4 linked regions of the Drosophila melanogaster genome follow. The protein of the gene in region 1 interacts with the protein of each later gene in a pairwise test. Each region holds a gene or a part of one and is shown in the gene's direction. Other genes may lie near its edges. The genes, in order: CG5382, Eglp4, hlk and CG11379.

The links.
Region 2: the proteins of CG5382 (region 1) and Eglp4 interact in a two-hybrid assay, tested with the Drosophila melanogaster proteins (one large-scale study listed by BioGRID).
Region 3: the proteins of CG5382 (region 1) and hlk interact in a two-hybrid assay, tested with the Drosophila melanogaster proteins (one large-scale study listed by BioGRID).
Region 4: the proteins of CG5382 (region 1) and CG11379 interact in a two-hybrid assay, tested with the Drosophila melanogaster proteins (one large-scale study listed by BioGRID).

Annotation. Positions count from the first base shown.
Region 1 is NT_033777.3:22,363,793-22,371,526, reverse strand, and holds CG5382 (uncharacterized protein), read left to right. Parts: upstream 1-5,543; 5' UTR 5,544-5,713; coding exon 5,714-5,815; intron 5,816-5,878; coding exon 5,879-5,990; intron 5,991-6,057; coding exon 6,058-6,251; intron 6,252-6,306; coding exon 6,307-6,508; intron 6,509-6,569; coding exon 6,570-6,859; 3' UTR 6,860-6,954; downstream 6,955-7,734. Other genes in the region: PyK (pyruvate kinase), read right to left, coding at 1-749, 1,962-2,003; Polr3F (RNA polymerase III subunit F), read left to right, coding at 4,373-4,765, 4,824-5,312; CG7071 (uncharacterized protein), read right to left, coding at 7,020-7,330, 7,400-7,734.
Region 2 is NT_033778.4:23,605,379-23,613,070, reverse strand, and holds Eglp4 (entomoglyceroporin 4), read left to right. Parts: upstream 1-4,140; 5' UTR 4,141-4,264; coding exon 4,265-4,939; intron 4,940-5,019; coding exon 5,020-5,238; 3' UTR 5,239-5,479; downstream 5,480-7,692. Other genes in the region: Eglp3 (entomoglyceroporin 3), read left to right, coding at 6,437-7,030, 7,095-7,313.
Region 3 is NT_033778.4:6,735,657-6,744,207, reverse strand, and holds the start of hlk (hulk), read left to right. Parts: upstream 1-3,535; 5' UTR 3,536-3,955; coding exon 3,956-4,169; intron 4,170-5,852; coding exon 5,853-6,009; intron 6,010-6,080; coding exon 6,081-6,247; intron 6,248-6,678; coding exon 6,679-6,714; intron 6,715-8,551. Other genes in the region: phtf, read right to left, coding at 1-615, 664-1,171, 1,228-1,367, 1,439-1,464.
Region 4 is NC_004354.4:1,176,836-1,184,397, forward strand, and holds CG11379 (uncharacterized protein), read left to right. Parts: upstream 1-3,329; 5' UTR 3,330-3,428; coding exon 3,429-4,034; 3' UTR 4,035-4,716; downstream 4,717-7,562. Other genes in the region: CG14627 (uncharacterized protein), read left to right, coding at 5,267-6,079.

The DNA of each region.
Region 1 (7,734 bases):
TTCTCGCCAAGAACCTTACGGATCTCGGTCAAAGCAGCGGCGTTGCGGATGAACGAAGCAAAGATCATGTCCACTTCCTGCTCCACACCGAACAGCAGATCGCTCTTATCCTTCTCGGAGACGGCAGGCAGATCGACGGGCACGCCTGGCAGGTTCACACCCTTGCGGGAACCCAGAGAGCCGCCGTTCTCCACCTCGCAGGTGAGGGAATCCTTGCCTACCTCGCGGACAATCAGTGAGATCAGACCGTCATCGACGAACACCCGGTTGCCGGGCTTCACCACATTGACAATGTTCTCGTAGTCCACGTACACAATCTCCAGAGAGCCCTTCTCCAGGAATTCCTTGTTGGTGGTCAGCTTGATCTTCTCGCCCTTCTTCAGCTCAATCTCGGCGGTGCCGCTGCCTCCGATCAGACCGGTACGGATCTCGGGCCCCTTGGTGTCCAGGGCAATGGCCACGGGGTGTTCGTAGCCCAGCTTGGCCGAGTAGTTCTTCACCGCCTGGCGCACATTGGCCACGGTGGCGGCATGGTACTCGTGCGATCCGTGAGAGAAGTTCATGCGCGCGATGTTCATGCCGGTGGCCATCATCTTCTCCAGCATCTCCACGCTGCTGGAGGCAGGTCCGATGGTGCACACGATTCCGGACAGACGCACATGGGGCACTGGCGAGTCGAACTGCAGACGGCACATGTGCTCCAGTTGGGTATCAGCTCCTGCGGCCATGTTTTGGGGTACTTCGTTGGGCTGCAAAATGAAAACTATACTTAATTCTGTTTGTTTTCATTTCTCTTCATATTTATAAACAGCGCGAATTGATTCTTTATTTTTAGAAATCAACACGCTGATTGCCAACTTTTGCAATAAAACAGGTTAAAGTCGTGTTTATTGATTTTAAGCATTTATTTCCAATTTACGCTAATAATCAGAAGTCTCTTCCTAGCAACAAGAAACCCTACGCGTTTTAAAAACTACCAAGTTCTAGCAAAAAATAAAAAAACCAACTAGTTTTATGATATTAAAATCATGCCCTGGTGAAGTCATGCAATGCGAAACACATTTAGGACCCCAACATAAACGTGGCGAATGCGTGCAAAACTCATGATAACCCTTCTTCATATCAACGAATATAAATCGATACAGTTTTTATCGACCAAATTAAATGTTTACCACCGGCTTATAAATAGAACCAAACGGGCCAAATACGGCGATTTAAGCCCAAATGCTCGCCGCACCAATCATTTTTCATGACCAAAAGGAATGATTGAAATATTTGTGAACTGACAGATAAAATAGAGCTATTTACATATAAAGGTAATGATTTTAAATAATCTAATAATCCTAATTAAAATGATAACGTTATATATTAACAGTATTTTATCATTCTGATGGTACTTAGTAGCATGTGTAAATAAGCCATTGATAAAACTTGACATATAAAATGTTATAATCGATTACCAATATTAAATGATGCTGTTGCGTTAAATACTATTTGTTAACTCTTACGATTGCTTAAATTATCAAAATATTTATTCGCACTGTGCATGTTATGTTTTGAAAAACGCAAAGCTGTCGCTGCAGAATTCGCTGATGTAAACAAAGTGCGTGTACTTGAAGTGCTTGAGTGGATGGGCGTGGGTGGTTAGGGGTGTCCCCCGTAGAGAGGACCTGAGAAAGGCAGAGCGGAAGAGAGAGTGGCAGAGAGAAAGCAGCAGGCGGAAGAAAAGTGTGCAGCGAAGCCGACACCGGCAGCGCTGCACATCTGCACCGCCGAAGGTCAGTTCTGCCGACCGCGACCGACAGAATTTTCTCAGCTGCAGTTGCATAATTGTCTTTTCCCACATTTTCCTCCCCAATGACTCTGATATCGGGCCAACTCGCCAGCCAACTGATTATGGCGATTATGAATATCTTTATGGACCAACTCTGGGGGCTTCCATTACCGTGACATTGGCCTACCTTCAGCTGCGGTGCCTCATCGTAGATGGTTACGTTCACCATTTTGTTGCCTACCGAACGGGTAGTATGTAACCAACGGGAATCGCACTTGGGATCGAGATCGGTCTGACGATATAGACGACTATATCTTCTTGCAACTGCACACGCAACTCCACGCACAACAACACACACAACGCAGCGGCTAGCCGAATGCAATATTTTGGCAATATATCTTCCAAGTTTGAGACGAAAATCGGGATATATGGAAAATCGGACGCGGCGAGGACGAGACAAAAAGTTCGACTGCCACACAGATTTTTTGGCAAGCGGAAATTTTCCTAGCCGCAGAAAAAGCGCTCAGAATGTCGGTAGCCCGACAGCAAAGAGAGCATAAACGCAGAGGAGAGAGAGTTTGGGCCCAAGAGGCAAGAGGCGGACGCAACAGGCCACCCCTAAAGAGACAACATTGGTGAGCGAGCAAGAAGGGTATATTCAAGGGTATGCTCGACCAGGGACTGCCAGCTGCTCAGTCGACCAAGTGGCCTTACCGCTATTCCCAATATAATTCCGAGTGAAATATAACCTTAATCTTACAATACTGCATATAAAAATTAATAAAGATATTATCAAATGGAAAAGATAGAGGCTCAAATTATCATTCGATATTTAAGTATAAGTAAAGTGTTTAGCAGGATCAAGATATGCTATTGTGCCAACATACCCTAACTCCCTTCGCGTAAGGGGATGCGAAAAGTTTATCCAAAAAGGAAGCTCCGAAGTTAACTGGCGCAAAGCTCCGTTGCTAGGCTGGCCGGCAATCGGATAGAACAGAAGGTTCAACGATCCATTACGATTATTAATTTTTGCATATAAATTTGCATTGTACAGAAGTATGTGTATATATGATTATATGGACACGTGATGTCAGTATGTGTGTGCGTGGTAAACAAAAAACCGATCATCAGCTGTTAGACGGCGCTTATCAGCTGGCAATACAGAAAAAAAGCAACGCGGAAAAGAGCCCACTGTCCAACTGTCCCACTTCCACCTAGAATTCCACTGTGCTGACCTTGACAACCTAATCTCCTCCACAGAAAACAGCTTCGTCTCGCTCGCACTGCCATTATGCAAGTGCGTGAGCATCTACTTTCCTTTTATCTTCCGCTCTCTCTTTCGCTCATCGTGAGTGACACGCGCAGAAACCGTGCAAGTAAAGCTCGCCGGCCTGCAGCTTTTGTCGCCGGAAAACGCACGAGAAAAGTTCTGAAAGTGAAAGTGCTTTTCCAGGCTTCAGTCAATATGTAATGAGTACTATGTGCCGTACTATTTAACCTTGAACTTGTGGATAAAGGACGTTAGCGCCGTTAACATTTTGAAGCTCGGGTCTGCAACAACAAATGCTTATCACTGAGACGCCGAAACAGCAACAAAATTTCAAATATAATTCAGACAATCCGGCACAGAGCAAATTTATGCAAAATTACTCATCATCGCTGAAAGCGTCGTCGTCACAGAGCAATTAAACAATTGCGATAGTGGAAGTTTACAGCGGTTCAAGATTATTATTGCTGCATTATTTCCGATGGCATGTTTAATAGGGTGTGATTGCGATGGTGTAGGTTATTTTACTTGTGGCGCGCTCCGCATGGAATGACTTCTATTTCACCTTTACACATTTCGCTAACGAGGTTCTTTTGAGATTGTATGGGTGTGCGAATTGAATTCGCAGCCGTGCTTGTGTGTATGTGTTTTGTGAGGCGGCAAACGCAATTCTACATAATGTGGAGAAATTGCTTGCATCATCAACAACAGCAAAAACAAATGTCTTGCCCCCGCCAATTTCGTTAGCAAAATTTCTAGCGTATTATAATGGAATGATGTTTAGCTTGAGGTCGTATCAAGAAGATCTGATAATTACCTGTTTTTGACAGTAAAGGTGAACTCGCGGAAAGATGTATTTGCTCTTCCTGTTTTGGAATTATTTTAATTCAATTTAAATGCACAGGCAGCGAACACTCCAATCAGAAACAGTGCGTCCGGCGATCTGTTCGAAAAAACAGTTGGCACCAATGAGCCTAAAAAAGCCACTCGTTTTTAAAATAAATACCATTTGGTATATACATACCAGATTCACGATATAACATTTGGGGTCTTCGGAAAGCTTTAAATTTTATTTAAAGCAATTTGTAATAAAGCCTAAAACATATGCTCCTTATTTATCCTCATTTATTCAGTTGCGTAAAGTATTATTTTTAATAGAACAAACTTATATTTTTAAAATTGGTTTGTGATTTTTGTTATTTTTTAGCTTCTTCTTAGCAGCGGTAGCCATTCGCCCGGAACCGTTTGTTTTTGTTTTGCTTTTCACGGTAAGCGTGTTGTTTTTCTCGATTTAATTGAATTTTAAATAACAAATTTTCGAGAATAGAAAAATGGCCACTGAGGTGTCGCAACTTTTGCTGGCGGTGGTCCAGGGCATCCCAGCCGGTGCCACCAACGATGACCTGACCAAGGCGCTGCCCGATGTGCCGGCGGCCACGCGGGTGGAAGCTTTGAATATACTGCTGCAGGAGGGCGGGATCGAGATCCTGAAGAAGGGTGAAAAGCTGGTGTACCGTGCCAAGGACCCGGAAAAGAAGAGTGCCCTGCCCAAGGATGCGGACAATGAGGAGAAGGTCGTCTACGGCATTGTTGAGGAGGGCGGCAACAAAGGCATCTGGATTAGGGATATACGTATGAAGTCCAACCTGAACATGATACAGCTCAACAAGATCCTCAAGAACCTAGAAACCAAGAAGCTCATCAAGGCGGTCAAGTCGGTGAACGTAGGTTCTATGATCCCATATTCCAAGTTCAATGTGATTCCAAATTTTCTTCGCGCAGGCCAGCAAAAAGAAAGTGTACATGCTGTACAACCTAGAGCCGGATCTCTCCATTACGGGAGGAGCCTGGTACCAGGATCAGGACTTTGAGGTGGAGTTTGTGGATGTGCTCAACCAGCAGTGCCTGCGCTTTCTGCAAATGAAACGCGACAGTGCGGAAAAGAAGCGCGAGGGGCCACTGGCCTTCAAGCAGATGTCTTGCTGCACGGTGAACGAGGTTCAGAAGTTCATCTCGGACTTGGGCATCAGCAAGGTTAATCTGGCGGAGGCCGATCTGGAAACAATTCTCAAAACAGTGGTGTACGACGGCAATGCGGAGCGAGTGCGCCAGCAGGATGGATCCTTCGTCTACCGGGCGGTGAACGCCCCACTTCCTCCGACTGGTCTGGTCCAGATGCCATGTGGCATTTGTCCCGTCATCAAAAACTGCTCCAATTGTGGCGATGTAACTGCTATAACTTGTGAATATATGCGAGATTGGTTGGATTAGGGATTAGCTCGAAAACTCTGGATTTTATTTTATATTAAGTATTACAAATTGAACTTATTGTTTATTAAGCTTTTTGTAGCACAAACATTATTAACTCTTAAATGTTATGGTTACCATAAAAAAAAGGAAAATTTGAAACCGATTTTTTAAATCGCAAACACATATCGTATTTCATCATTCATCGCTACGATATTCGCAGAATATGTCAGCTGGTTGCCAATCGCCCGGAACGCATGAACAGATACGTGGCTGTTGAATATGTGAATGAAAACTCGAAAATTCCGACAAAAGCTGCGAAACGAAATAAAATTTAATTTTATTGAGGCGTTATTATGCGATAGCTGTCCCAAGGCCGCCAAGTGCAATTCCTCCGCCGCCTTAGGAACCCCGAATTTAAGGAAATGGGTTTGTGCAAGTGCCCCAAGCGCCTGGTGACCAACCAGTTTTGCTTTGAGCATCGAGTCAATGTTTGCGAACACTGTATGGTTCAGTCTCATCCAAAGGTAAGGATTCCTGTCCTCTAGTTTTATGGATGCTTGGAATACACCATATCCACTCTTTTTCAGTGCATTGTGCAGTCGTATCTGCAGTGGCTGCGGGACAGCGACTACATCTCCAACTGCACTCTGTGCGGCACCACATTGGAGCAGGGCGATTGCGTGCGCCTCGTCTGCTACCGTAGGGATCTGCCAGTTTTGAGCTAATCCAGACACCACACACTTACCCATAATCCTGCCATTTCCAGATGTTTTCCACTGGGACTGCCTGAACGCCCGCCAAGCCGCACTGCCTGCCAACACAGCCCCTCGGGGTCACCAGTGCCCCGCCTGCAGTGTGGAGATCTTTCCCAACGCCAACCTGGTCTCCCCGGTGGCCGATGCTCTGAAGAGTTTCCTGTCGCAGGTTAACTGGGGCAGAAATGGCCTGGGACTCGCCCTGGTAAGCATTCCGGGCAGTAAGCTTGTAATCAATTTAAATGTTGAATCTTTCCCAGCTCTCTGAGGAGCAGAGCAGCAGTCTGAAGGCCATTAAGCCCAAGGTGGCAAGCCAGGCGGCTGTCAGCAACATGACCAAAGTGCACCACATCCATTCCGGTGGCGAGCGAGAGCGCACGAAGCCCAATGGCCATGACGCCGTGAGCCCACATTCCGTGCTCCTAATGGATGCATTTAATCCCCCAAGTGCGGGCGACTACGGTGCGCATAATCTAGCATACACTTTGAGTCATATTATAATTATAATCTTACGCACCTGCAGCCAGCAGCAGAAGACCGCTGCTGCCCCGTCAGTCGCCAATTGGTGGGACAGATCGAGACGATAATAAGTACCAGCGCCGCACTCCTGCGGAATTGTTCTCGCGATGGACACGCCGCTTCTATGCGCCCTCCTCGCGGCCGCCGTGGCGTCGCACTTGGTTCCTGGTGACCGCCGGCATTTTGGCCTTTGTCTTGTTCGTCTATCTTATGGCCTGGCTGGGTCGCGGAGGATCTGATGCCGTGGACGAGGGCTGGAATAACCCCAATCCACAGCCGAACCACTACGAATAGGGTGTGCATTCACGGTCGAAATAAGCATACGTAGCATATAATCGATATCCAAGTCCCCGATTCCGAAAGAATAAAACTTTTACAGCTATTTATATAACCTAACATTGCAAAGCGAAATAATACAACGACAAAGAACGATTTTTACTCGCAGATCATCTATCTAGTCAACATGGGGTTTCAATGTCTGGACTTGACTTCCCTCGGCGGGCGGGGTGCGCTTAGCCGGCGTCGATGGCTGCGGCTTACGTTTGGGCGCGTCCAAGACCTCATCGTACTCGTGCAGCTTCTTGGCCAGGAAGTACATCTCAGCCAGGGCTATGATGAGCGCTACAATCACGCCCAGCAAGATGCGAAAGCCGAAAGGCAGCGGGCCCACCATCAAATTGACGCCGAAAAAGCCGAACGTAAAGCCAGCGGCCACGGAGAAGATGAACTGCACCACGGCAATGATTTGCTTGTTAAGGCTCTTAACTGAAAGGGAAGGGAAGAAGAAAAAGGTTTTAAAAGGGCGGATCTAACAAGCTGGGCGTATTCACTTACTCTGATAGCTGATAGTGTCCTCTGGATAGTGTTTTAAGCCGGCATCCACATTCTTGGTCATTTTGAGGTAATCCCGATTTTGTTGCTCTGCGCGAAGACGTTGGCAGCGCGCTTCTAGCTCAGGATTGCGCGGCTTCATTTCGTTTTCGGGCAGGAGCAGATCACAGGACTCAATTAGCTGATGCAGAAAGACTTGGCAGTGATCCTGACGACGCAGTTCAGCCAGTGTTTTTGAGAGCCAGTGCAGGTCGGTTAAGTATAGGAAATGTTTAACCTCCCTTGTTGACTTTGCGTCATCACTATCCTTGACCCCTGAATCTGGTTCCGATTTATCC
Region 2 (7,692 bases), on another chromosome or scaffold:
ATTTCAATTGCTCCTTTTAAACAATGTTTAATAAAACAGATGATCTCATTAGTACGATGAGTTTAATAATGACCAAACTGTTCAAGTAATTAGTGACTAACTAAACGAAGTCTCGATTTTATATAAGTTGGCACATGCCTTCGATTAAGATCTTTTGGAGGGGGGAACTCACGAGTTTGTGCTAATCAAATTTGATAAATCAATCGAGTTGCGAATCGCGTGCACCATCGCCAGATCCAGATTGTTGGCTCTATTAAACGAATCGATCGAGATTTGGCCCAGTTGTAAAGTCACATCATATGATTGAGAAACCGGTCGGACACGGAACAGTTGGCCCGACTCAAATTGGGCCAGTTCAAGTGTCTGTTATGGCAGTTCCTGTATGGTAATTGTGCCTGACTTGGCCAAAACCCGGTGATTCTTCACAGTTGGTTGATGTCATTCAATCCCACGCCACCATTGTATTTGTGCTTGACAAACCGCAGCCACTCGGAACTGCGATTAACTTGGTTGCTTTGCCACTTGATAAGGTGCTCTGCCGTGGGGTTAGCAGGTTATCAACGGCGGTGTCCCAGCCGCCATTGAGCAGAGTGTAGTTCCAATTCAAGACTTTAGGACGGGGCCGTTGCATAATGCATGAGCTTCAGCCAAATTCCAGAGTCACTCCATCCTTATCGCCATTATCAAATGGACTGCATATACATACGTATTGCCAGCAAAAATAAAAAATATCACGATTAGAGGCCACATCGAACCATAAATTAACTGCTGACCAGCCTTCGTGGAAGAGCAAAAGGAATTCGTAGCCTAGGTCACTGCCGAGTGCTATCAGAGCAACAGAAATAAGAGTTATTTGCCAGTAATTAGCAAATTGTCTGTCTAGTCATTACAATGCCTTTCACAAATCATAGTCTGAGCAATCGCCTTTCGAGTGGCCCAACCTCGTGGCCAGCTGATAAGACGAAGCCCCACAGTTTTAGCCACGAAATCAGAGACCTTCTCGGCTGCTAGAGCACCTGACATTTTCGAGCCGTGTGCGTGGATCTTGCCGTATTGTTGACCACGTCTTAATTGCCCCCCGTATTTACAGCCGTAAATAAAAGGGGGCAGCACTGCGAGGTGGCGATGCCAACAACCTGTTGCGCAACCCAAAACGTCAGCAGTTTCCATTGCCCTGATAAGCCGCACAGATAAGAAGCAGAACCTTGGGGCTAGGAAGAGGCTGCCATGGATCTTGGTCAATGGGCACTAAGGCTTCCGCCTGTGGCACCATAATGAGCTTCAATTACGATCCAGCTGGCAATTGGAATGCCATAAAGGGGTATACGTTGTTGTTGTTGCACATCAATAAGTCGGCAACCGATCACTATCGCACTTTGGAAGAGCCGTAAATGCGGGGCGATGTCAAAAGTCTGACGAGTAAATCCGATTTGAGTTGGCCCAATTATGGCCAAATTAAGCCTGTGATATTGCGCCGCCAGACACCGCCAATCCCAATACACCATCACCACTCACTCAGCTCGATATCGGTTATCAGTGCGAGTGACAGTGGTTGCGGCGTATGGTTTATGGCCAACATTTTAGGGCCACTAGCAAAAATCACTTCTTAAGCAGCTACAGCCACAGCTATCAGCAAACAGCGGGTGAGGCTTATCGGCACGGATTGATTAGCTGTTCTTCAGGCTAACAAGTTTTTTACGACGAGCTTCTGGCCGAAGGCTTATCACTCTATTACCAACTTAGTCATAATTAGCTAATAATAATGCCGCGTGATAAGGAAGCTCATCGAAAAGCTCGCCGAAAGCTAACGATCGAAGCTTCGTTAAAGTTGCGCATCCTAGCAGCTGAGCTTTTGAGAAGCTCCGAGGAGTCGCCCGTTCTTATCGCACCGCTCTGTTAATTAACAGTCCCCACTTCCGTTAACATCAGCGATTAGCACTCCCCAAAATATGAACGTAGAAACGCCCAGTCACGTCCCATCACTTAGACAAACGCTGAGAATGGATCATAATAATTAAGATCCATCATCCCAAACGGGGTTTGTTGTCAATTAGGCCCTCGGGCCATTGAAAATCGTGGCCCATGCAGCGATCCCATGGATGATACGTGATCCTTCTGGGCATGGAAAATATGATAAAGGTGCAGGTGGTAATTAAATTATTATTATTATTATTGTGCTGCCGATCGGATGGTGTGTTTGATTTATTTTTAAACTTTCGATCCATCGCGTGTTTACTGCTTTGCCTTTAATCTCTTTGTCTCTTGCCAAAACGTGTCGCTCTCTTTTGACCAACCAACTGTCAATGAGTTGGCCAAACACAAACATTTGCCGTTGGCCAAGGGCCAAAACGCAAATGAACCAGCAGTGCTATTTTCTCCACCGTTTTCTGTGGCAATGCCAATGTGTGTTATGGCGAGAAAGCAATGGAAAACATTAGGCGTGGTCAGTGAGGGTCAAAAGTTCTGATCACCTGAGCCACTGTGTGTACTGGGTGTGTGTGCAACAGCAGGGCTTTTGAAAATATTTGCTTTAAATTGTTATTATTTATTGACGATCCAATTGTTATTGAGACACATAACTACGCAAATTGCGTGCAATTTGATCGACAGGCGTGCCGAGATTTGCCGTGATTTGTTTGCCACATTGCGTGGTAGCCCGATTCACGCAACGCATCCTCAATTGCAGCAATTGCAATTGATAGGAATCGAAGCGACGGTGGTAATTGATAGTGTGCCACTCTGCTGTTATCAATACGCAATATGCCGCCTGCTTCAATTGCGAGCGCGTCACGCACTTGCACAGCATAACAGTGTTATGCCCACCGCCCACCGACCAACTACACTGAAAATAATTATGGGGATTTTCGCTATCAATTACAGTTTAGTGCTAAGTTTGAATGACACGCAATGAAAATGTCGTATTTTAGGAACTATGGTTACTACTAATTCTAGCAATCATTGCTTAGCAGATTTGCCTTTCTCATGGCAAACAAATAGTAAGAAACAAGTTAAATGAAAATGATAATTTACTTAAAAAACAAATGTAAGGACCACCTTTAATATTATAATTCTCATAAAATGCTGTGAATAAGTCGAATGAATTCGATAGAGCAAAACCAGTATGTCAGTTGCACACCAAGTGTTAATATCTAACCTTGTTTCCATGGAATATCATCCGTATTGTTTCTACCATTTTATAATGATTTAAGCCAGGTGACTGGTAAAGGAAGAGTGGGAGCGAGAAGGAGCATCGCTCCAGAGATAATCGCAAAAGCGAACGAGAGCAGCGAATGAGCGTTTAAGATGCTCATAAATTCTGGACACTTGACTTTTTTATGCTCACCAGTAGGATTCGCTAATTTCCACGCCTTTGTGTGTGTGTGTGTGTGTGTGTGCTTGTGGTCGGTCCCCTTCATATGTGTGTGTGTGTATCTGTGTGTGTTGCTGCTCTCTCACAGGGGCTAAAAATGGGCTTTTGATTTACGCAATATTATATAGACACAGATATAAATATTTGCCTATGGCTACTCCACCGCCTCAGATTGACATTGACAGTCGCGCTGCCGCTTTGTGAATTTTCACCAGCTACGGAAAAGATTGATTATATAGTGCGATCTCAAAGAATTGGACAAGTGTCAAAATGAGCCACGAGATTCGGTAATTATCTGGCACTCGAAACCAAAGAAATTCAAAAAACAAAAAACAAGAGTTCTGGCTACCAGAAAGAGGGATTTACCAATCACAATAAACGGATTAATTCGCAACGTAGTGAACTCCAATTGACTCGAGTGGCGCTCAGGCGATAAGGTTGAAAAAGATTGGTTATTGTTTTATGGCCATGTCGTGATTTGATTCGCATTTTTTCGGCCATTTATCTATAAACCCAATTGACAGCCGAACGGCAATCACAAGTCTACTATATTTAGTACACGGCTACTTCATGTCAGTCCAGCCATCGATGGCATTCCCGCAGCAGGCATCGTTTGTCGGATCAGCAGCATAAGTTGTGCTTCCAAAAAAGGGTGTTTGGAAAATCGATGCCAAGTCAATGAACCTCGAGCAGCAGGGGATGGATCCGCAAGGGGTGGAAAACCAGCAGGAAATCGTCCAGGCAGCCGAAGGAGAACAGCAGTTGCAAAGGTCTAGAAGCTTGACAAACTAACTACAAAGTTGCACAATAGTTGAGATTGTAGAAGTGTGTCGCGGGGATTAGGTGCAAATCGAGGAGGGCTTTGCGAAACGATAGGATGGTCTTAGATAGGATATGATTGATGAAGTTCCTAAGCAGGTCTACTTAGAGTCGAGAAAGAGATGGACGATGGCGTGCGACAGAGAGGGTAGCTCGCTTTTTAGTGTGGCATTATTCAAGCGCTTCTCTGACCATTTCAGTTGCTGTAAGGTCTTCAAAATGAAGGGATCGACGCTGGACAAAATCTCCGCCTTCCTCGGCGAGCTCATCGGCACCGGCATCCTGGTCTTCCTGGGCTGCATGGGTTGCGTGAAGACGGACCTCTTTCCCAACAACCATCTGCAGATTGTGCTGAACTTCGGCTTCGCCGTCCTCATCGCCATCCAGTGCTTTGGCTGCGTCTCCGGTGCCCATCTGAATCCCGCCGTGACCGTGGCCGCCTACATCTACGAGATGGTCACCCTGCGCATGGCATTTGCCTACTTCGCCGCCCAGATGCTGGGCGCCTTCATCGGCTACGGCCTGCTCATGGTCCTGCTTCCCTCGCCCACACTTACGGTGGGCGCTGGGCTCTGCGTGACCTTGCCCCACACCAGCGTAACCACGGGCCAGGCCCTCGGCATCGAGTTCGTAATCACCTCCATCCTGGTCATCGTCTGCTGCGGAGTGTGGGATCCGCGCAACTCCAAGTTCCATGACTCCGTGGGCATTCGATTTGGCCTGGCCATCGCCTGTCTCGCCTGCGCTGCCGTAAGTTAAAGCGAACAGTTGGCTAATCCTTACCTGCCTCGAAACGGATTATTAACCTCGTTCCCTACCATTGGTTTTAGGGTCCCTTCACCGGCGGCAGCATGAACCCGGCCAGGTCGTTCGCCCCCGCCCTGTGGAACAAGCACTTCGAGAGCAACTGGATCTACTGGCTGGCCCCGCTGAGCTCCTCCGCCATCACCGCCTACGCCTACAAGGTCGTCTTCCGCCGCGAGGTGGTTGAGGCGGAGATCACCTCCAATGAGAAGCTGCGGCAACTGGAGGACGTCCAGCTGTCGTAAGGCCAAAGACATTGCTGTAGGAAAAGCCCTAACTAATTTAGTTAATATCTAAGATGCCGAATTTTAAAATAATGCATTCGTTGTACGCTAATGTTAGCAGTGTCTTCACAAAGTGGCTCGAACGTTTCAAAAGGCGAACCAAGTGCACACACTTACATAAGCCCTTGAAACGATAAACGTCTTGGTGAAAACACTAATTGCCTTCAGAAATAAAGAACATCGAGATTTTTAATCTAAAACCAAAACAAAACAAGTAAATTATTTTTATGGTTTTAAGAAATTCTACACAAGATATTGGTAGTTATTTGATACCTGAAGTTCTGCTCTTCTGGGCCATCTTAAAACATGTTGAGTCCATATTATCTAAAAGCTTTTCATTCTTCAATAACGAGGTATTTGCTTTGATTAGCTCTAAGTAACTTCCGGGCTTAAAAATACCAATAAGCTTTTTCCAGGAATCGAAAGTGAAAAAAGCCCATCAGCTTAAGCGGTCTTTGGAAAATCTGTTCATAAGATATTCGAATATCTTAGTACCTCCAAATCGACCAATCAAATGGTGGCTAAAAAACGTTATCAGCAGGCTGCGAATGAGACGCGCGTATCAGCCAAATAAAGCCAAAATATACCAACAATATGCAGTTATTGTACGTTACGTACTCCATTCGGGTCTATAGTCCGTATACGAAGCACAAATGATATATGTGGTTCTATGTGGTTTAAAGGGGACTATGTGCTATGGGTGATATGCTAATGCTGGATTTGCATCACTCTTCTGGAATTTCTGGAAATCACGGGGTGATTCCTTCGAGTAGCTTTCGAACACCATAGGCCAGGTTTATTGGCCTTGTTGTAGCGATTCAGACACTGGCTGGCACACAAGAAGTACGAGTATTGGCCAGGTCTCGGCGACCCCGTTCGCCGTTCGATAAAGATCTTAATGAGATAAGATTGAGCACAAATCGGGCGAAATGGCAGTGGCGCTTATCAGGCCGATAATTACGGCTGAGCAAAGCCCCCCGAAAATCGCCTTGATGGATTGATCCATCCTGAATGGGTGGGCGGGAGCTGCTCCCAAATCTGCGCTCGATAATTAGCATTAAGGTTTTATAATGGATTTTGATTGATTGCCGTAAATTTTGCTGGCACGTTGGGTCACTTGGGCAGCCGCCCAAAATTGCGGCAGTAGAGTTCCGTCAGCATGTCGCAACAGAAGCAAAAATCGCAGGAGTCCAATCCGAACGCCAGGTGGCGCCTGGAAGGACACCAAAGGAGTGCGATAGCCTGCTTCTTCGGTGAACTGGCGGCGACTGCCGTCTTCGTTTTCATAGCCTGCATGGGCTGTGTGGAAACGCCGCTGTTCCAGAATTCGCACTTTCGCAGTGGCCTCACCTTCGGCCTGGCCATTCTCATCGCCATCCAGTGCTTCGGCTCCGTTTCCGGTGCCCACTTAAATCCGGCCATCACCCTGGCTGCCTGGCTCTACGGCGCAATCGGTTGGATCCGGGCCATTGCTTACTTTGTGGCCCAGGCTGCCGGAGCCCTGATAGGCTATGGTCTCCTGGTGGCTGTTCTGCCTGGGAACTCCATCAAGGGTGTGGACAACCCGTCGGGTGTTTGTGTGACAATTCTGGCCCCCGGAATCAGCGTACTTCAGGGGGTCTTCATCGAGTTCCTCATTACCTGCTGCCTGGTCATGGTGGCCTGTTCGGTGTGGGATCCACGGAACGCCAAGCTGCAGGATTCGGTGCCCGTGAGATTCGGTCTCACCGTCTCCTGTCTGATCCTCACAGCGGTTGGTATTTCGGTGCGTTTCAAAGTTGCGAAGTGTTACTTAATGGGAAGTCTGTTGCTTTTAGGGTCTCTTCACGGGAGCCAGCATGAATCCGACCAGATCACTGGGTCCAGCTGTTTGGAACGACTCCTGGGCACACCACTGGATCTACTGGGTGGGTCCTTTGGTGGCAGGAGCTGTGACCTCGCTGATCTATCGCATGGCCTTTAAGGGCGACGAGGAGATCGATCTGAGGACTTCCGATGCCAAGATACGAATGATCGGAGAGGTTATAGTGCAATAGGTGTGAATTGAATCTTATCGAATAAACTATATATATATACGAATATGTTGTAATAATAGAGCCACAAAATATTTAGGTCGATTAAGTAATTAAGCACCACCTTGTATTATTTCCATAGCATACAATTGGGATGAGCGGCGATATTGGCCATTTTTTTGGGGGCTCGTATTCGCTGGAAAGTTTGTCGAGTTTGTCATATATATCAATAGGTCCATAGGTCTTTGAAAATCATTATCAATGGCCATTGATAAGTAGCCCCTTTTAGAATTGCTCAGCTTGATAGCGAATGAAATGTTCTGCGTTTCAACCATTACAACAGGCGGCTTAAATCATATTGATTAGATGGCTTATAGCCCCCTTTCTAGTGGGACACTAACTT
Region 3 (8,551 bases), on another chromosome or scaffold:
AATCGCAGACGCAACTGATTGGTCTGAACAGGAGCTGGTGGAGCCGCAACAGCCACCGCGTTTGGCAAAGGCGAATGGTTGTTGTCCTCTCCACTTGAGCTCTTTCCATTCAGACTCTCGAAGCCATCGTCCTCCCCGATGTTTCGACGCGTCTGGTAGTCTGGCTTGACGGAACACAATCTTTCTCCAACCGACTCAGGCGCACTTTCTTCTGCGACTTTTCTGCTGGAGCACGGCTCTTCGCCCAGCTCGTAGGTAGCGTATATCTGAATAGGCGTGTGCCAGTTGACGTTGCGCTTTTTGGGGCTTTCGGGAGCAGCTCCCCCTGCCTTTCTGCTGAGATCGTAGCATGCGTCTATGGCTGCCAGCGGTTGCGTTAGTGGGCTGATTGCAGTCGTTGTCAAATAGGTCTCCTCGTTGGTGCTCCGCCTGATAACAGATGGCGAAGGCGTAGTCGGCGTGGTGGGGTCTGGCACCGTGGCACAGGTAACTGTTGGTGAAGGCAAAGGCGTGACCGGTCTGGGAAGAACTTCGATTGTGCTGGTTGCGGTTCTTCTGTTTGGAAGTGATATGTTACTGCTGGCCTGGGACAAGTCAGCCTCCACTTGTCGAACTCTAAAAAAAGAATTCAATATTTGGTTCCGAAAAGAGCTTCGTTCTTACCGCACAATCTTCTTGCGACGTCGCACCCGGTTCTCCCTGGTTGCTGCTTTGTCGCTTAAGTAGCTTGCAGATATGCGACGCAGCTTGTTCTTGCTACTCCCGCCAGAGACACCCGAGGCGGTGTTAGTGGCTACAATTTGTGAGTGGATGAGACTGATCAGCAAGCTTAGGGCGCACGGAATAAGCAGGGCACTGAGGAGGGCGGCATGTTCCTCGGACTCCTTATCTGCATCCTTATCGGAGGCATCTCCATCTGCCTCTGCCTGAAGCAGGGTTCCATTTGGCGGCTTCTCATAGTCAAGGGGCACTATGCGACTGCTGTGAAGCACGTAGATAGCCCAGTTGGTTAACTGTGTGAGGTAAAGCACAAGGATGAAGCCGAAGGCGTTTGGCGTGGTCTGCTTGACCCACCACTGGGCATAGAGGGGCAGCAGGACATAGCGCAGAATGGCCAGGCGTATCACAGTGAGTAACGACTGCTTGGGCTTGGCCTTAGGGAACGTGGAACCTAAAAAATGTGTTTCAATTATGGGCACTATTTGGGGTCAGTCAGGTTAAACACACCTCGCACCAAGTCCACATCGATTAGCTCCGTCTTCAGCTTGGTGTTTTTTAAATTGACACTATTGAAGCCGTCCAATATCCTCTGTTCGACGGTCTTTTCCCATTCTTGCTTGTCATAGGTGCCGATTCTCTTCTGGTACCTACAAAAATTCAACAGCGGATAATTTGATAGTCCGGAGAGGGAGAGAGTAATGAAGCATTGTTCGCTTACCATGCAACTATTTCATCCAATTTCATAGTAATAATCACATAAAAGTCCTCGAAGTGTCGTGCAGCCTGCGAACGAACAAAGAAATCTTCAATTAGGCCTCACATCTGCAGCGCGAAAGCCTCTAATTTATATCGGCCTGCGATAGCGAGGTGCCCGCTATCCGGATATAACTGGGGAACCCAGTATGTGAGTTCGCGGCTGGGATTTTGTCCCACATATGAAGTTGGCGTCGAACAGCTGCTCTGCATAACGGGTTTAGCAGGCTGGCCCATATCAGCTGATGACTTTCACCTTCGCCTTGCCACAAACACGGGCCCGCCCCCGTCAAGCCTACGCTCATAAGGGGCCTTCCCCTTTTCCGCCTCGACCGCCTTGGAAATCTGGGGAAGCGGACGGCAATCGGTCTAACAGCTGTTTATCGGGCGGGTGGGCGTCAATGTTTATGCACACACATGCGGAAGAGGCGCAGGTATACACACAAGCGCAGGGAATTGGACTTGGTATGCGGCCCCTTCTGCAATACTGGGTTCAAGGTGAATTGGCCACAGGACCCGCACTGTGGCCCCATGGCGGAAGCACCCGTGGGAAGAGCTGATTTTATTCATGGATAGCGGAGTTACCTTGGTTTAAACCGCGTCACAGATCGATTTTTGTCCACCTAGGCGCGAATTTCTTACGCTTCCGCTGACTGCTGGTCGCATCGATTCCGGTGCCACTGCTCTGGGAACTTTGGATCCCGTTGGGTATCTGGTAATTTTGAATGCACTACACACGCCGCAAAAGCGTTTGCATTTGCATTGGGTCCGAAAAAATTTGGTGCGCAACAGAACGAACGTCCCGTTCCTAACGAAAAACTAAAGTGTGTGCTCACAAATCCGTACATCTTGCTCAGCTAGATATTATCGATAGGCAGTGGATGGATTGTCAGCTGGCCGACGGCACCTATCGATAGCTATTCAAATCCAAATGGCGGCCATGTTGTTTGTTTGAAAGCCCAAAATAGGCTGTATTATTTTTGTTTATTTGTCCTGCAAATTATAAACAAGGGAGTCTCCGAGAAAAAGTGCAACTGCATCACTAGATTTTTTGAACATATCCGAATTGATTAAAACATTTCTGATTTATCACTTGCCTAGCTTTATTGTAAAATATTGAATAAACCTCCATAACATTAATACAGGTACCAAGATACCGAGACTTTCATTTTTGTGTGTGTTGCAGAAACGAACTCCAAATAATTCGCGAGGGTGGTTTGACGTTAACAAAGGTCATAGTTGATAACCAGTTGAAAAGGATTCATTATTAGTTGGATCAGGTTTTGATGCCAATCTTTAGAATTTGAGAATTCTTACATTAATCAATACAAATAAAGCTATTAAGGACAGAAAACCACTTGTAAATCCGGTCTCATCTTCCATGTTTTCGATGACCAACAGTTTTCGAGAAGGCTTATTTAACAGTAACTTTAAATCATTCTCTAGATCCTATTCAAAATTTGGTATATTTGTTGATTTTTACATAATAGTTGACTGCTGGAAGGAAACGTTTCCGTCCCTAGAATTTACATTTATTCTTATTGAGGATCATTAACCGATTCGATCTGTTCATGTCCTCCTATCTCTATAAACGCATAGATTTTTGGAACTATAAAACTTAAAGATTCAACAATGTCACGTTATGTCTCTTAGCAAAGGGAAGTTTAATCCTTTCTATTTTAGACTAAGCATAACGTTGACAAAATGTTAGCTCGAAACACATTGTTAAAAGTGTTTACCAAAGGGAAAATGGGGAATACAAAGTACTGTGAATTGTTGTAGCGCATAATGAAAGCGATTCTCCGAGTTTGTTTTTATAGGACTATTCGTAGTCACTTTCTTGTTTGCACCGAATGCATAAACAGAGAACTGCAATTCAAAAGGGAAACTCTTGCTCTTTGCCTGATTTCACCACACTGCTCACTCGATTGGCGCTCCTGTGCTCGACGCGAAAGCTTTTCGGGGGAGCGGAAAAGCTGCGCCAAAGCACGAAGTCCACGATCCCGATCCCTAAAGCTCGGGCAAGGCCTCTTGAATGGCACCGAGATTCCACCAAAATAATTTCAGTTGCGAGCGGACCTCTGCACGGAGTGGAACAAAATCTGAAGAGCAAAGAGTACAGTCCGCGGAAAACGTTCAATTAATAGAAGCAAGAAACCACATATATAATCTAATTATTCTCGTATATACCCCACATATATCTCGCCTGTGCATATACGAACCCCGTATATATGTATCAGTGAACAAAAAGTTGTTATACATAAAATAAATTGCGAAAGAAGAAACACCATTATCAACTAAAAATAGTGACCGATTCTCAAAGGAATACAAATTTTAATAACGAAAGACCCCAAACGACGAGAACGAATCAATTATACAATTATAACACTATAAACTGTAGAACACACCAAAACGAGCAGACACGCGCACGCATGTTCGCGTTAAGGGCCTAAAGCACATCAGAACCGTAACCGATCGCAGGATGACTTTCACCCGCCTCAAGACTCTCTCGCTGCTCGTGTGTGCTCTGCTGGCCCTGAGTTTTCCCGGACATGTGAGTGGTGCAGGCAACAACAACAACAAGAAGGGCTCGCAGCCAGTGGCGCCTCCGGAGCCGGAGGCCGTCATCGAGGAGGTCAATGCCAAGCAGCTGGAGAAGCTCCTGGCCGACAAGGATTACGTGGCCGTTTTCTGGTGTAAGTGGGAGGGTGGTTATGCCAGTGCTCTCGGGGTCGTCCGGGCACCGCTCATTTATCGTCAGACCGGACCGTACCGGACTCGAAATAGTAACAGAAGCCATATTATATAAATTTTCGCTAGTGAAAATTCTAAAAATTCACATACAAATGAAAATATGTGAAAAATTCGTTGCTCGAAATGTCCGCGATTTTCATTCGGTTAATTTTTTATTTTTTTTCTATTTCTTCATTTCCTCCCCGAGTTGCCAGTAGTCTGTGCTGCCTTCCCTTTTCTATATTTTTTTCATTTCTGCGCTATCTTTGCGATCTGTTTATGAGTAGAGAAATCTCTCTTGGCTGTGAGAAATCGTCTTTGCAGCTTTTTATATTTTCGGTTTTTTAGTCTATTTTGGCGCAAACTTTTGGCACAAAATATACCTACATACCTATGAAGCAGAATTTAATTTCCTTCCAGCAGTTGCCAACAGATTTCCTGCCCTTTTAAATTTATTTTCAATCCCCTTGTCCAGTGGGTCCCATTGGTGACCTGTTTTTGGGTAACCAAAAAAAAAAAAAAAAAAAAAATGGTTACCGTTCGCGTGAAAGAATGGCTTATTTATTAAATCTCTTTAATCAGTTTAAATATAGATTGGGCATTTGCGCGCTGTTCCCCAATGTCAAAGTTAATAAACACGAAAGTGATCTTCGGATTGTAATATTCTCCTTTATATGTATATGTACATATACCTCACGATGTGTTTCATTAGCATTGGCGGCAATTCCAAAAATAATTGTTGACAATGAAAATATTTTAAGTCCAAAAGCCTCAGGCCCAATGACGCTGGCCGACAATCGAAATAATCATGGAATATCTACGCAAATGGCAGAGCATTGAATAGTTTTGGCAATTAAATCGCAGATAGTTCAATATGTAAACGAATTCTATCGATAAGCTAAATGTGTTTATTATTTCAAGTGAACGCTATTTATGTTATTGCACTGCATGCGATAGCACTCTGATGATTTTAAATCAAACATCCTGCAGTGGATTTTCCAAAGCACCTGGTGTACACAGGAAACACCTTAGTGTTGGAGCCCGTAAATAACAGCATTAGGAGTATGGAGTAGGCAGGGGGGGGGGGTATTCGGCCAACTCGCGATTACTTTCCAAGCAGTGAAAGATTGTTTTGAACGGATTGCCAAACAATCGAAATGGCTGTTTACTCGGCGATGTATTAATGATTCCGATTTTGCAGTCTGGTCTGCCGTTTAACCAACCAGAACGTTTGTAGAGACGTGGGCCAACGGTGGTCTTTTGTGGGCTGCAATTCATTTCCCTAATAGTGGCCGCATGAATTTTATGAATTAATTTAGAATTTCAGCATATTTGTTGGCAGTTGCTGCCGCATTAATAGCACAGAATTGGCCTGGCGCTGCTGTCATTTCATTCATTCATTCAGGCTTATTTTCGATTGCGCGGTCCGATGATGCATCCTGCATCTACTATATAGGAATGAATAATCTTTGCGGCATTTGGCTCCACTTCTGCCAGGGCTTTGGGCTTTGGGCTTTCAATTCGAATGGGAATTTAGTTATGGTCTCTTGTGGCGTCACATGCAGCAGTTGCCGACTGTCAATCGCTGCCGGTATCTACATATAATCGATCTTTAGTACTCACACGCTCGGCTTCTACGATTTCAGATGCGCGAAGCTGCGTGACCTGTGATAAGGTTTTAGCGGAACTCGAGAAAATCGACGATGACACCGACTCCTTCGGTGTGGACTTCGTGAAAATCAACGACAAACGACTAGCCAAACAGTATGGCATCAAGAACTTCCCCGCCCTCACCTACTTCAGGTAGGTAATTCCCCCACCACAAACAAGACACAAGACCTAATCGAATCGAATCCATATCTCGAAAACCGCAGGGAAAAGGAGCCCATCATATATGATGGGGATCTCATGGACGAGGAAGGAGTGCTCGATTTCCTCACCTCCTTGGAGGCCATGGACTTGCCCGATCGCATCGAGGAGGTCAATGCCAAGATATTGCAGAAGATCATCGAGGACACCGACTTCGTAGCCGTTCTGTTCTGTAAGTGTGAATGACTTAACCGTAGCACATACATAGTTCTTCAAACGTTTAGCACTCCGAACACTCTAGTGTCGGACACTTGAAATGATGATATTCTTTTTCAAAGCAGTTGCAGTTTTTAGCGAACACAAACAGTTTAGCTCTCTTGTGACTAAAAATCATACAGCTAGGTACTAGAACTACTTTCAAAACTACCTATTCTGTACATTCTATTCCATAAATCAATATCTTTTGCGTATGTCTGTACTCTATCTATAAATACGTATACTACTTGTAACTAACCGAAGCTAAGTGGCGGCATACTTAACATTTAATATAGCTATCTATATATAATAATAATTTCTCTTCCGGCGGTGTTTCGAACCCTCTTTGAGCCAAAATGCAAAAGGACAATTTATCAATCCAATATCTATTCTATCAAACGACTGCAGGTCCAGATCATGAAACATGCCCGCCCAGGGTTATGGGTAAGTTTTCCGTGAACAGTACTGGGAACCTTCTATCTTGCACTCTCCTTATAATTACCTACTTTGAAACTTTGTTTCCCCCAAATTAATTCATTGACAATGTTTTACCCTTATTCCACCATAATTTTCCTGATTCCAGTAATACCAAAGTTGAAATGAAAAGATTATTCCGCAATGCCCGCAATTCGATATGTAAATATGTATTTCCTTATTGACTGCATAACCCAAATAACCGAAAAATCCAGTGTGTGTTGGTGCTTGCTAAAATCGAACGCTAGGGATTCAGATTCCAGTTTACAATGCACCAATTAGCGTGGGCCAAACCAATTTTATTCAATCTTTACTTAAGCTCTCCTGCTGACCAGTTAACGTCGATGGCCTAGGTAAAGGACACAACCTTAAATATATACAATCACCACTGTACGAGTAGTAATTCTTAGTAATTTTTTAAAAAAACAAGATCTCTCATTTTCGCGTTCGCTATCGACCAAGGCAGACACACATATTACGTATACGTATAATAATAAACATTACAACAACAGAAGCAATGCAGATGAATGTCTGGGCTCGGCGCCAGATTATGTTTTTGTCGGCACGACGTCTTCTTCTCTATAACCCCCCCCCCACAAAACTTCTCATCCGCCACACCACGAATCACAACCCAATCCCTAACCCTGTGATTTGGACAAGCCGGTGGATAGCAGGATGAAAATTGGGGATTCGCACTGATCTATTGAAGTTGGATCACAATATAGAAATTGTCGAGCGTGGGAGATTTTCCCCGGAGACGATATTCGAATTTGTGTGAATTTTGGAGAAAGGAAGGAATTTACCTATAAAAAAGCATAAATTCAATACTTGCAGATGTGGCATACATATGTACATATATATGTACAACGTACATACATACACACACGGTGATGTGTTGGCCAACAACAAAGTATTCGTGGCCATCCGTCTCTTTCCGACACAGCCACCTACAATTTTAGTGTTAAAAATAGAAAACTCAAGCAGTTGGTGGGCCAACAAAATGATTTTTCGCTGTTCTTGCTGCTGCTGTTATTTTTGCTTAATTCTGAAACAACTAACTATAGCCACACTCACATGGCAAGTGTGTGAATTCACAAGAACATTTCTGTAGCATCCGCTACACTATCCATAGGTATTTTTATCAAACGCAGACAGCATACAAAAAACAAAACGCTTATCCTAATGCAAGATGCATAGATGCATAGATGCATGTATGTATGCATAGATGCGAACAGCATGTAGGTGACCCAAGACAAGAAATCGTGGCCCATTGTCCCGCCCGCCCCCTTCACTGCGCCCCCGGCCATCCCCCCGCAATTGAGTTTGAATCCATCAGGGGCTGCAGACAGACAGCGCTTTTAATTGCTCTTGCATTCAGCAATACATCAACATGGCGCACACGAGCCGGCAGTGCATGGTTATGGGCAGATCTTCAGTTGTCGCAGCCAAATGCTGGTTTACATAATATACGAATACCTATACCGATATATTCGTATCCGTCCGTCCCACTGCAGATCTATAACTGTGTGTGCGTGGCTCTTTCCCGACTGACTTGCACTATTTTTAGTTAAGTGCAACATTTGCCCATGTCTGCGGCAGGGCCAAAAATTGGTCAGTCCGTCAGGGAGAAAGTTGAAGGCTCGCAAACACGTCTGATTTTCTCGATTTAGCACATATGTGGGTACATATGTATGTTTTGCCATCATTGTGCATTGTGCAGTAAATTATGAGACATTTTCGCGAGCGAGTGTGTGCGTTGGCCTTGTCACCTTGGCGACACCCACTCAAACAGCTGCTGGGAATGAGT
Region 4 (7,562 bases), on another chromosome or scaffold:
ATGGAGTAGAAAACGCTGATAGCAGTCGACAGTTCAGTCTGTCGGTCCAGGACGCTGGGCTCACCTGTTGACGCAATATCAAACACCAAGTATCCACTTTTTGCGATCGATTCTCGCGCGGCGGAATAAAATCTTTTTCGTCGTCTGGTGAGTCGGTCTGGCTTTAACAATGAACATTTTGCGCCGCACTACTTCAAAACTGCAAACTTTGCGCCGTAATTGCCCAGAAAAGTAACACAAATGAAACGCATTGACGCTTAATTACTTTTGCTAAATGGCACGAGCCCGCCAGCCATCCTCCATCCTCCATCCCAACCCCTCCACGTCCTCGTCCTTTAAAAGTACTTTTCAAATGGAGTGGGCGAGGCAAACAGAAGGGAAAACGAGTGGGGATGGCCTGAAGGTGGAGCTCCATTTGCTCCATGCGGGTGTTTGGCTTCGGTTACGCTCATTTCTCAGCAATGCTTCGAATTTCCACAGAGTCTGTCTATAGTCCCCTCCTGGCAATTTACGGCATTCACTTGCTGACTGACAACGTCCAGAATGGTTGCTGCCACAACGCGTAACGAATCGTAATCAATGATTGCATTATGATTCATAAATGAAGCCCTAATTCACGCGCATGCAAGCAACAACTGTATTTACTCGTAAATCACTCGCATATGCATAGGTCATTAGAAATAATCTGGATCATATGTAGATACAATATTGTTGGAAGCGGGAAGCGGGCGGGTTGATATAAAAAAATATATATTAATTTATATTATTGCATCATGGTACTTCTAATACGGTATCTTTTAATTCCGCACCCCAAAACACATTCCCCTGATTGCAATCGTGCAGCGTCATGAACATGTGAGGCCTTCAGGGTGCTGCGAGTCGGCACGATTTGACTTTTGTCGACGTCACAATTTGGAGAAGTTTACCCACTTCTGGCGCCGCACAAACTTGGCCCAAAAAGTTGCCCTGCCACTTGGCAAATGCAAGTTTTTGATTAAAAGCCACCACCGCCTCCTGTTCCCACTTTTTTAGTTCCCAGTTCCAGCAGCCAGCAAAGTTGTGTGCCAGGTCTAGGGCCGGAGAAATTGTTAATTGAATGCATTTGGGGTCCTTGCAATGTTTGCCTGTGCGTGATATGGGGCTCTTTGCCAAGAGGGAGCAAATGAAGAAGCAGGCTGAGTTGGTGGCAGGCTGGAGGTGCCCAGGAGCAGCTGCTTCCCAGCTCGAAGTGCTCGCCTTCTCCCACTTAGCCAAAGTGCGGCGCAAATGCTTTGCCATCACTTGGCTAACAGACAAAACAGTATTGGTAGCGCGTTGTTTGCTAGGTGAGTCAAATGCATATATTATGCGAACAGTGTTGGTCCCACACCAGACCAGTGTTGAATAACTGATTTTCTTCGTATTTACAAATTTCTATTTACCCACATGTTCCACACCTCTCAGTGTTGCCGAATCATAGTGCTGATCCCAGAAAATTGTTGTGAAGGAAGCACAAAAGGGTCATTTAATCGCAATGTGGTGGCAACATGTGCCCCAATTCTGGAAACATTTTTGAGGCTACCTAGAGAACCTCGAGAGCATCCCCATTCCTCCCTAACGGATTTGTACAGGTGGTTGGGTGGTTGGTTGCATTAAAAATGCATTGGCCAACTCGTTTATTGTTGCTCCTTGGCAGAGCTTTGGTTTACTTTTATTTAGACGAGCTATTCGCTGGGAGAGCCTGATGATGCAAGCTGCAGCTGCAAGGATTCCACTCCATTTTGGGAGACACACACTTTTCATTAGCTCAAAGGAAGAAGCATGGATCGGAGCTCAGCTCAGGTGGAGAAGGTAAAGCCCTTAAAGTTAAGCGCATGGGAGCGGAACAAAAGTTGCCTTAAAGTCGTTGCCAGTCAATAATGACAGAGGATCCCAGAGGATAGGATGCCGTTTGGAAATGGTAAAGCGGATGCGGACGGGGATTCGAATCGGTGCTGAAGCTTCGGCCACGCCCACTCCGTGTCCGTGGGCGTGGCAGATGAATGAGAGGAGCACAGCCCCCCGAAACCCCGAAAAGAAAAGCAGAAGCAAAAGCAGCTGCAGATTTTCTATAAAAGCCGAGGCTAACGAGATTTGATGAATTGCAAGTCTTTGTGAATGAAGCTACAAGAAAGCTGCAGCATGAATAGCCCCGAGGCACCGCCAGGCCGCCTCCCACTCCTTGCGCTTTTCCATCTAACCCAGGTCCACATAAAAAAAACCCATTAAGTGGTTTAAAGCAGTGAAAAAGCGCACAGCACACAACAAGCAACACAGCAAAAGAAAAATGCAGTTGACATGAAAGCCAGCCAAAACGGGGCGATACAGGGATACAGGGATGGGGGTGGTAGGTCGGTAGGTAGATTGGTAGGTGGTGGAGTCAGACAGATGAACAGTACAGAACAGCACAGCACAGCACAGAGGAGCGGAGCAACAATGCTCACCCAGAGATGAGATAAGAACAGCCGCTGGAGGAGGACAAAGCAGCTTGACGAATTACTTGGCAGCTGCTCCTAGTGAAATCCCTGGGAGAATCAAGGAGCAGCGGGCGGGGCGGGGGCGAGCTGTGCGGGAAAGGACGAGGCGCAAGAAATTTAATTTGACCAACATTTTGATGTATCAAGTTCAGTTGAAGCCGAAGATTTATGACTTGCTGACAGAGCAAGCGGAGCAGCATCACCAGGATTGGGACGTCATGTCGGCAGAGAACAGTGCGGAGCAAGTGCATGCAAGAAATTTTATTCCATGCCAACCAGCCTAATCATTTTATAAATCATCTTGGTTTACCAGACGTACATATATATTATTGTACATATAAAGATCTGGAAGAGCTTATCTATGAGTTTCTCCATGATCATGCTCAAGCTTTAAAGTCCAAAAGTTGGAGCCGCAAAGCTTTGGCCGAAACAAAAATGAAAGTAAGCTGACTACTATCGAGCACATTTCCCATTTCCACTTGCCTCACGTAATGAGCCCACTGAAAATGAGGAAAACAAGGCCTTGACATCTGAGCCTGTTTGACTTGTGGTGATAATTGCAATTGGCGCGGTGTCTGTGACTTCAACTGTGACGCAGACAGTGACTGTGATTACACAAAGAGGAAACCTATGCCATTACCGATGGGGTATTCTGCCACGCAAGAATGCTGTATAAATCATAATATATAAATTATAAATTGAAAAGATAACATCGAATATATTAAATATTGCCTTTAAAAACTTTAACAGAGTTTACAACTTGCTTTTTGTATCACTTCTTAAAATAACAAGGAATACTTGTACACAAGTGTTCGGAGTTAACCAAGTAGTGACTGCTGCTTTAAAAGTCAGTTGAATAATTCAGTTTAAGGCTTTCTGACCCGAATTTACTCCCGTAAAACTGGAAGTGTACACCTAGGAGGACATCTGGAGATGGCTCGACTAATGGCCTTGATCATGGCGGTGTTGCTTCACTCGGTACTGGGCATCTCGTACTACTACTACTTTCGCGAATCTCCCGGCTCCGCTGCTCCTCTCTTGGGCGCCTGGCTCTTTTCCGCCTGCGTGGTGACCCTTCTTCACGGGGTGAGGATGTTTTCAAGTGCCCTGCCCGCCGATCAGCGGTTCAGGAATGGGAATCGAAACCTTCGCGGCAATGAGTCGTCCTGGGCATCGCTCTTACTGGAGACAGGCGTCTGCTGTTTGGTGCTGGATCTGACCCTTAGCAAACTGTGGCATCGCATAGAGTCCCTCTGCCAGTGCGCCATTGTGGGCATACTCCAGGCCTTGGCCGTCGAGGAGCAAACCTTCCTGGTCTGCGAGTACTGGACTTTGGGCCTGACTACCGGCCTGATCGGCGCATGTCTTCTGTGGCTTTCCCTATGGGCCACCGCGTTGCCCCAGAAGCTCCGCTGCGGGATGCTCGACTGGCGTCGCACCCTTCATCGCCGCTGCTCCGCGCTGATCTTCGGAAGTCTCGAGCCCGGCACTCCAATGCAGACCCAATCCCAGGGAAGCGCACAGAGCTTTGCCAATTGAGACGGAGGGGTGACCATTCCACTTCCACAGCCATATCACACTACCTCAGTCAATAGCTAAATTTATGGTTCAAATTATACTAAAAGCGTTTTAATAGGCACAGTGGGACACAACGGGCTGCATCATAAATTGAATTATGAATAACCATAATAGTAAATTTCGATTCAAAGCGTAGTTTCTTTTAGCTTCTTTAAGAAAAAAATAAACTCAAAAATCGAACATATATTAAATCGCAAGACCACTTTCTGACCGAATCCATGAAGCCAATTTGAAGCGGACAACTACCGGCCAAACTGCCAACCACTGGGGGCTGTCATCCCCCCGAAAAAGACTTGTAAACTCGTTAGCCGTAGCCGTACCCATATGCAATGCGGAAGAGGACCGATCCGAGATCCAAAAGCGACACGCCCCCAAACAACCGATTCGGTTTCGGTTTCGGATTCGGAAGACGGAACCCAGCGGCTCAAAGTAAAGCAAAGCAAGTCGATCGAAAGCGAAAACGAAACCATTACTCTGATGCGCGATCGATGGCTGTAAACTTGAACTTGAAGCGTAGCCAAAAGCGATGGACACCACGACGGCAAACAGCAACTGGCAACTAGCAAATAGCAACTGGCAACTAGCAACTTGCAACTTGCAACTAGCGACATGCAAGAGCCTGGCACACGCAACAATGCCGCTGAAATGCTTCCAAGGCAGTGCCAGCCAAATGCTGTTGCTTGCTGGCGCGCTGTCGTGTTTCGCACTGGTTAAAACTGCAGCCGCAGCCTGTTGCCAATTGCGGGAAATTGGTCGGGTCGTCGAGCGATATAAAAGCCTGGCTGGCAATGCAGCCGTGTTAATCAAAGCGCGTCGCTCGCCAGGAAAAGTGCAAGTGTTTTCCACGCTCCCAGGCAGCATTCAAACTCAAATCGCAGAGAAAATTCAGCGAGGTGAAATACGCATACTTTTTTTTTCTGTGCTTATAATAAAATCGAAAGGTGTTCCAAAATATCTGACCTTCGTGTTGCAGAATTAACTAAGCTGCTATAGCAGATATAGTTCAGTTACAAGTGCAGCTTACGATACAATTTTTCCATTTCGGATGCACTTCGCGTCCTGAAAATCAGCTTCGGGTATAAGCAGCAAAATGTTATTTTATAATATCCTTTGGGTTAACAAGTAAAATATATTATCGCAAATATTTTTCATGAACACGATCCCTTAACTTTTCTCTTATTCGCTACGTGTAGATGCTGTGCCACCGACACATTCACATCCATTGCCAGCTGTTCCTGCTGCAGCTCCTGGTGATGCCCCTACTTCAGGGTTCCCCCGTTTCGAGTCCGGAGATAGCTAGTAAGGGTTCCAAGTCCCCGAATGGCCTGCCACAGGTGCAACAGCAGCAGCAACAGCAACAGGAGGCCCACCTGAACTCGCTGAGTGCCTATGCCAGTGGCTATGACATGGCCCAGAACCAGGCTCAAGTCCAAAATCAGCTTCAGGGCCAGATTCCATCACAAACGGATCCGGCATTCAAGCCCTCGTACAAGATGCCCGAGATGGAGACCAACTTCACGCCCATGCAAACGGCGGGAACACCAAGTGTGTCCAGTTTACCGTCTACTCCCATGCTCATGCAGTATCTTCCGGCCCAGGCAATCCAGGATGGATCCGGAAACTCGGTTCAGTACCTTCAGCTGATACCCACCCGCCCGATCATAGTGCCCATTTCGCCGTACCTCTCGGCTGCCGCAGCAGCCAGCGGATCTCAACCTGCAATCTCCGCCGGCGCACAGCCAGACTTCGGAGGACGAACGGCCACTGTTTTGAGTGCTCTGCCGCCCAACTACGCAGCTCTGCAGGGTTACGCCAGTGGGTCCATCAATCCAGCCGCCGCCTTCCGCAATACCTATCGGATCAATCGCGAGGCCAAGGACAAACACTTCCCGCCCTCGTTCTCGCTTAATCTCAACGAGTACTTGCCAGCCGCCTCGTTGGGACTGACCGGAGGCCATGACGCCTCCGTCAATAGTCCACATGTGTATCTGCGGACCAGGTCATAGGATGTCAGCTACCGCCAAAGTCTCGCAACGTTCGAGCCTCTTTTTCTCTTCCGGAATAAAGCCTTATATGTATATATGTAAAGTGAGCCTGTGATTATTTTATGCAAGTCTATATCCCACTCAATTCAATCTAAGCCTTTCCACCTTGAAATGTTACACAATACGATACGAGTACAACCTACCCGACCATCTTGTGATTTTAGAAATTGGTTTTCCCATAATTCAAGAGCCGCGATTAATATAATGGAAAAAGCAGCAGTATAATGGACAGTATATAGCACATATGGCAAAACAGTTTGCTTCCCATTCAATTTACATAACTCCCTTTTATCTGAGTCACTGGTGTCGTTCTTCAGCGGCCTTCCACCTTTCGTTTCGTTTTCACACCAACCCAAACACCGCCGTGCTAAGAAGACCCAACAAACCAACCTAACGAAACCCAAATAAACACAAATGAAATCCAGACGTTATCGTATCTAGACTGTTTATTTGCACAGCGCCAAATAGGGGACAGTGAGCAAACAAACACACCTTTTAGGCTGGAACCCCCAGCCGAAGGTCGTCTTGGTCTTGTGCAGAATGCAGGCCATTGTTTTTGTTTCTCTTTCATTTGCGTGAAAGTGACCAAAACACACTATTTCGCGCCCGACCGGAACAGAGACGGTTAAGTATGGTTCAGTTGGAGAGTGTGTGCTGCGCCACAAAACCTTGGAGTTGCGTCAGTGCTGCCAGCCATTTGGTCTGTCTACTCCTAATTGTCACAATTTGACAAATTTATTTGGAATTTACTGGCTCAAATCGAAATAGGGCCATCATTGCCTCTATTCCGAGTCGCGGAGTAAGTAAAGGGGCGCTCAGCCCAAAGCATCTTTCACTTGCCGCATTAAGTGGAGCAAATGACTAAAGGCCTGACCCCGGTGAAACATCGACAAAGGCATACACTTCTGGTTTGCGAGATTTCTATGTAACGCTTGTACGATAACAAATTATATAGAAATTAGCTTGAGAATATTGTAAATAAAATATTCAGAAGAATTTGCACCCTGCAAACCATTTGAATCAATATAATAGATCGACTTTATTAGATCGTGAGGAATTCTATTCACTATTCATAGAACGCCTTACACTCTTCACACGACCCTTTCAGTTAGGGTACTAAACGCAATTTGAGAGGCATTCCACTGCGCACTGAGTGCCACAATTCACTTTCAATCACCGACCATTCCACATGTCGTCGATGCATCGACGATGACGAGATGATATGCTCTCGATAATGTGGAGGACGCCCCGTGGCGGCGAATCCCTTGTAATGGGATTTGGATTTGGATGGTTCGGATGGCCACTTGCCACAAAGTTTTGGCTGCGGAAATGAGCGGTTATCGATGGTCTGACTTCGCGTTTGAGTCCGCGGCTCGAACTCGATTAATGGTCGTATTTTCCTCGAGATGTATGTAGATGACTTACATAGCTGTTTCGAAGGGGT